Linked DNA regions of Mus musculus: region 1 is reported to be linked to region 2. The links are microRNA targets in miRTarBase. Many come from high-throughput screens and were not tested one by one. Region 2 holds a microRNA gene; the other region holds the end of a gene's coding sequence.

Evidence for each region. Region 2 holds the annotated microRNA mmu-miR-342-3p (UCUCACACAGAAAUCGCACCCGU, at 1,886-1,908, shown strand). A microRNA usually pairs through its seed, bases 2 to 8, with sites in the 3' UTR of a target mRNA and lowers its output. Matches are read on the target gene's strand: a 7mer-m8 pairs with bases 2 to 8, a 7mer-A1 pairs with bases 2 to 7 and ends in A, and an 8mer does both.
Region 1: the mRNA of Xpnpep3 is a reported target of mmu-miR-342-3p. Seed matches in the 3' UTR shown: 7mer-m8 at 659-665, 7mer-m8 at 2,018-2,024 and 8mer at 2,603-2,610.

Annotation. Positions count from the first base shown.
Region 1 is chr15:81,452,692-81,456,097 of GRCm38, forward strand. Xpnpep3 (X-prolyl aminopeptidase 3, mitochondrial) reads left to right here. Exons shown (of 10, transcript NM_001347075.1): 10 at 174-3,406. The coding sequence ends at 340. Among named protein-coding and RNA genes, the nearest start is that of Rbx1, 12 kb to the right of the region's middle.
Region 2 is chr12:108,656,795-108,660,200 of GRCm38, forward strand. It overlaps Mir342 (microRNA 342), which reads left to right and starts at 1,826; the gene lies at 1,826-1,924. The region is part of intron 3 of Evl (Ena-vasodilator stimulated phosphoprotein); the gene reads left to right.

The DNA.
Region 1 (3,406 bases), not on the chromosome of region 2:
CTGACCGAGCTTCCTGTACACAGCTCTACAGTGTGCGGTAGTTTATCTGGTTCTCAGAGCTCTGAGGTACATGCAGTGAAGAACTGTCAGGCACAGATGAGGAAGTTGAAACAGGTGAACTTGCTTCTGATCCACTGGTTACTGTCACTGATCACAGTCCCCTCTGTTCTCAGGCATTTATATCCCAGAGGACGACAGAGATGCCCCAGAGAAGTTCCGAGGGCTCGGAGTTCGGATTGAGGATGATGTAGTGGTGACTCAGGACTCACCTCTTATCCTTTCTGCAGATTGTCCCAAAGAGATGAATGACATTGAACAGATCTGCAGCAGGACCTCGTGACCACCACTGTGGCATCCCTGCTATGCAGGTAGTCAGTGTCTCTGGGGATTAGACACAGCTTCCCTGGGAACTGCACAGCCAGTGAGCGAGGGCATCTTCATGTTAAATGGATGTAAATCTGGAACCGTGGATTGTGGAATAATCTGTTACTACAACTTTAGTGACATTAATTCTGAGACGTTAATGATCCAGAAAGTTTAACATGTGAATGTAAAGTAAGGGCTTGGTTATGTGTCCCTGCATTCCAGTTAACACATTTCAACAGAAAACTCTCTTCATCCCTTTCTGCACTTCTTCTGAGATCCACTTAAGATGCTTGTGTGAGGCCCACATGTTTTACTTCTCACCAAAGTTTCAGCCTATGCTAATGGCTACCTGTCGGCGTTTGAGGTGGCCAATACTTACTTGCCATGGCCTCTGCCTCCTGGTCCAGGTTCTGCACACGCACACCCACTGGAATCTCTCAGGCCTCAGGAAACACAGGGGTCCTGCTGTGTTTCCATTCAGCCAGAATACAGCAACAGTCAGCCAACAAGAGTCTTGGATCTTTCTTGCCATTTGATTGCACAGAACATGGAAAGTGTCTAGGTTCTTCTTGGAAAGAAAATGAAAGAGAAAGGAAAGTATCTATGTGTCTCCACAGATCCAGCTCTGTTTTCTTCCATTTAAAGGAGTTTTTTTTTTTTTTCAAATGTCCACCTTCCTCTCTTTCACAAGTTATTTTCTCAGACAAAATGTCACTATGTTCCTCAGGTCCTTCATAGTTGCTGTGCTTTGTGACAGGATCTTATGTAGCCCAGGCTGGCCTCAAACTCAATATACAGTTATTGCTGGCCTCAAAATATTGATCTTCCTGCACTGCGCCCAGCTCACTTTTATGGGGGGGGGGTTATGCGCAGGTGTGTATGGTTGGTCGGTTGGTTGGTTGGTTGGTTGGTTTTTAGCAAGGTTTCTCTGTGTAGCTCTGACTATCCTGGAACTCGATCTGTTGGCCAGGTTCACCTTGAACTCAGAGATCTGCCTCCTTCTGCCTCCCTAAATGTTGGGATTAAAAGCATTATCTACCACCACTCAGTTCTTTATAGGTTCTTAATGAATTGATCCATGTAGCTACTTGCAGCCATGTATTGTCAAAATCAATGCATACTGCTGCTTCTCCTTGTCTTCGTCTCCCCCACTCCCCGTGGTGACTCCCCTGGCCTCAATCCTTGGGGCCAGTGAAACTGCCTGACTCAGCTTCCCAGTAAACCTCCTTTTAATTTAAAAAACAAAAGCATGACAAACTCAGAATGGGCATAGTGACTAGTGCCTGTAATTCAGCGTTCTGAATGCAGTGTCAGGAATATGGTCATAGGGTCAAGGCCCAGAGCAGCCTGGTCTGCAGAGCAAGTCACAGCCACTCATGGCTATGTGATGACCCTGTCTAAAAATTAAAACAAAATAAAAGGTTCTGCAGTCTTGTGTTAGATAACAATAAAATTAAATATATGGGATGCATTCAGTAGTTATGAATACCCTATGGTCCACCTCTTACTCTAACGCTAGGGGATGACATGGCAAGGCAGTGGCAGAGTCATGTTTCTTTCCCTAAACACAGCATCTGGTTCAGTTGTACAACCCAGATTGCAAGGTGAGCAAGTCAGGGCTGGATGAATACAAATGGTTAATTAAGAGCTTGTGTGAGGGGCTGAAGAGATGGCTCAGAGGTTAAGAACACTGACTAGAGGTCCTGAGTTCAGTTCCCAGCAACCACATGGTGGCTCACAACCATCTGTAATAGAATCTGATGCCCTCTTGTGGTGTGTCTAAAGACAGCTGCAATGTACTCATTATACATCAAATAAATAAATAAATCCTTTAAAAAAAAAAAAAAAGCTTGTGTGAACTGGGCATAGTCCCTTAGCACTTGAAGCAGGCAGATCTCTGAGTTCAAAGTCAGCCTGATCTACAGATCAAATTCCAGAACAGCTACACAGAAAAACCCTGTCTCAAAAATAAAATACGCTTATGTGACAGAGGGAAGCCCTAAGAGCTAGTGTGTAAACTTCTTTTAAATCTGAGTATGTGTAGTCCCATGGTAAACAAAACCTGCTAACTGCTACAACATAAATCCAAGGGTTTTGTGGGATCTGCCCCTACTTTCCATATTTCTGTTAGGGAAGTGCAAGCTAGAAGATTAGCAAACAGTCTCTGCAGTGCAGGTAGCTGACACATCTTAAGAAATTTCACAGTACACCTAGAAACCAGCAGGGGACAAAGGTAGTGTGAGAACTAAACATTAGGACACAAATGGCCCTCTGACTACTCATCCTCAAGGCCTTATCAGTCTCTCCTGAGGGCTGTAACAGTGGCGGCTGCCCGCCCAGTCTGTCCTTTCTGCCCGTTGTCCGTCTTCTGGGTCTCAGACCTAACCTACTTTTAAAGAAGGAAGAATAAATCCATTACCATGGCTTCTCACCCACCTGGCTCTGTGCCCAAACAGCCTTCGCTTGGAGTGACTTTCCTTTCTTTCTGTAAGACAACGTCGTCTGCAGTTCTCACCTTTGTAGCTGAAAGCCTGGGCCGCTTTTATGTATAGCAGAGTTAGAGAGGAAACTGACTTCTGCTTACATTACAGTCAAGTTCTGCAGATGTAACTGGTGGTTAGGGTGGCTTTGATGGAGTTGTGGTGAATTTGGTCTATGGTCCAACCTGCTACCCATTGAGTCCCAGATTAAGCCAAGCATTTCAGTTGGACTGTTAGAACCATCCAGAAAACAGTGGAGATGGCTCAGCTGCCTCAGATGTGTGGCCAGGCTGGTCTTGCTGGGATTCCAGGTGCACCAGCACATACAGTAAGACTCACTGAGCGGGTGAGTAACTTACTCACAGGGCAACTTACTACACATCGTGTTTCTAGAGTTAGTGTTTTGTGCATGTGTGCCCCAGTCTTTCCTCTTAAAAGGGCTTTTTACCTGTCAGCTTGCCATTTAGTGTGCTTGTTGGTTTGGTTTGGTTTGGTTTGGTTTGGTTTGGTTTGGTTTGGTTTGGTTTTTGAGACAGGGTCTCTCCTGGAACTCATTATAT
Region 2 (3,406 bases):
TCCTTTTGGCATACGAAGAATACTTTTCCCCCCATGAGCCTGAGTTCCAGTCCCTGCAACAATGGTGTGAGTTTGAATTCACAGGGGAGCAGCCCTGCAATTGCTGATAGCCCATCTGACCTTGGGCACGACCTGAGCCTCAATTTCCCATCTAGAATGCAGTACCTATCAGAAATGAGATCATGAAGATAAAAATAGTAATGACAGGAGTTTTGAAGACAAATAAGGGCAGAACAGCTTTAGCCTGAAGTTAGGGGTCAGCCACATAGTGTGTCCAAGCTCTCTGTGGAGGTAGTGGCTCCTTTAAAAGCATGAACTGGCTACCAGAAGTTGCAGCCTGGGAAATCCTGGATGTTAACTTGGTCTGGAAAGGGGCAGGAAGCAGAGCAGGAGGATGAGTGATCAAAAGGCTGCAGGCTTGAGATTAGGCTGGGCTGATTTCAGATTGTTTCTGAGGAGTACCAGGGGCCAGCATTTTCTCTAGGATTCACTGTGAATAGGCTTGGTCTATCTCCTCACTGTGAACCTGGGTGAAGTCTTAAACCTCAGAGCTTCTTGAAGTCAGCTTCAGTTTTGCTTCCCACAAACCTTATTTTGCTAGAAATTATGAAACTTTTCCCTGGAAGAGATAGAACTCCTAAACTGTTTTTTGCATCTCCCCTGCAGTGGGGATGTTGGCTGTTGGTATGGCTTCCTCTGGGTGTGCCTTTTGGGCCAAGGTCACACTTCCTACCCAGGCTTTGTTTCCAGGCTCTGCTCATTCCATCTGCCCTGCCCCCTACTGGCCACACTGTAAACAGTGGCCCTCTGTGTTTGTCTACCCACCTCACTAAGAGAACCTGAGCTTTGTAACAGTCTCCATGCCAACAATACACAAGTCCCCTTCACACTTTGCTCCTGCTAGGCCTTCCCCACCTCTGACCCCTTCTCCCTCCTCACCTGCCTGACGTAATTCAGAATCCCCATAGTTCCTCGCTCTCCTCAGTGTGCCCCTGTTACTGTATTTTTTTTGCCTCTATCCTCACGGTAACACTTGGCACAGCACATTCGAGCACATGGATTCAGCCAGGTGTGGAAATTAAAGACCGGTCCCTAGAACCTCAAAAGCCAGCCTGATACCTGATGCCAGGTACACCCTGACAAGGCTTGGGGATGTGGCAGGCCTGGAGCTCATTTACAACCCAAAGTCCTTAACACAGTTCCAGCTGCCTTAGACCATGTTTGGGGAGGAAGGGATGTGTGCTGGGCCAAGTCCCAGGAGAACTCTATCTCATGGTCTCCTCCCAGCTCCCTCATCTTCAGCCCATAGATTTACCGTCCCTCTCCTGACTGTATGGACAAACCAACAAGTTCGCCTTGACTTCCCTTTCCAGATAAGGGCCAGGCATCCATCCAGCCTGGCTGCCAGTGCTGTTTACGTCAATGACCTGCACAGCCCTCCACAATGCACCTTGCCTTTGACTTACTTTATGACTTGGCGTAGTGCGCTCTCCTGCTTGTGATATTTCTTATGTACCACTCTGAATGTGGATTCACTCCAGATGCTCAGAGAACCTGGATCCTTCCCAGGACTCTTGGTTGGCTGGGTTCAGTTATTGAGTTTCTCTGGAGCAAGTTGCCTTCCATATCTGTATTTATCTACACCCTAAGAGACTGACATGCAAGTGTTTGTGGTGCATGCATGAGCGAGTGAGCGAGTGGGTTCACCATGTGTTCTTCCATTGTATTGTGCACCTTGCAAACATACCCCTCGCTTCCTGCTTCTGTACCCTCTCCTGAAGACCACGATGAAGCTCCTGAACCGCCAGCACCATTTGCCATCTGTGAAAATGGGCTCAAGGTGAGGGGTGCTATCTGTGATTGAGGGACATGGTCAATGGAATTGTCTCACACAGAAATCGCACCCGTCACCTTGGCCTGCTGAGCACCACCAGAACCAAGAAGCACAGCACCCCAAACCAAGCAGCAGCCCTGGTGAAGTCCCCGTGAATGTGGCCGTGATGTGTGTGAGCTGTGGAAGGAGCTGTGGATGCAGACCTGGGCAGTGTGTGGGGTTTCGATTCGGATTCTGTAACCGCCATGACCAGCAGAGTGAGAGATAAGAAAGCAGTTCAGTCCAACATGCCTAACTATTGGTTCAAACTTCAGGAGTCTGACCCCAAATAATTAAGTTTAGGCACATTTAAGCACAGCACAATTTGGTGCTTTCCTGGTGATAATTAACTCAGTCCTGTATATACAACAAAGCTTAAGATGTGACTACATCAAAACTCTTTGTAAAGTACGTGTGACATCTTCCATAAAGATGAGTTCTGTAGATTGACAAGCTCACAGTAAGAGTCTGGGGAGGATCCTGTGTGGTCTCGGCCACATAGATAGCACAGAGGTCACCAGGCTGTTAACCACGTTTGCTCCCAACCTTCTGGGCAGATAACAGGTTATGTGTCCCTCCCTTTGAAGGGACAACTCTGTGTGTTCAGCATTCCTGGTTCCCTAGTACTTATCTGTGAGCACAGAGACCTTCATACCTCCCACAAGATAGATCTGTTCTCCAGCTCTTTTGCAAAGTACTCACCCTTTCTAAATTTGTTTTTCCATCTGTGAAATGGGTTGTCACACCTACCTCACAGGGGTGTTCTGAGTGCAACACAAGACATTGTGCAAGTTCTTTATCAGTTGAAAAATCACTCCAGCAGCTTGAAATGCCTCTCCTTACAAAGCAGGAGTTCTCATCACCCACTCATGTGACAGTGCTAATAGGAGAGGAGGACATGGTCTCTGTGGGGAGTTTACATGAAGGTCTCTGGAAAGGCCTGAACTTTTTAGGGTGCCCTGCATGGGGACCCTTAATCTCAGAGCATCTCCTTTAAAGTAGTACTGGCTCATCTGCAGTTTACATCCCAGGAGAGAAAAGCTGCCTTCTCCTCCAGCACCAAGGTCACTTCCTCAACACTGATGGCAACATGCTACTGATGCTTCAGGCTTCCTGAAACCCCACAGACCCAATGATAGTATGAGACGGTGATCCAGAGCATAGCTATCTTACACGCCTGTCCTCCATACTCAGAGAACAGACGAGCGAGGTGAGCTACATATAGCCAACACAGGCAGCTCAAGAGGGACACAAACTAGAAGCAGGGGACCCTTCTGTGCCCTAGCTGCCTGCATCTGTTCTACACTCTGTTATAGTTAGTGAACATAGACCCAACACATCTATTTCTGCATGCCCCCATGCCAAGTCTTACTTTCCTTATCTTTGAAGTGGACACAAGGGCTGATGAGATGGCTTAGTTGAGGAAGGGAAGGTGCTTGCTGCTAAGTCTGGCAACCATAGTTCAGTCCCCAGGACCCACAGTGGTGAAAGGAAAGAACCAGCTCCTGAAAGCTGTGCTCTAGCTTCCATACA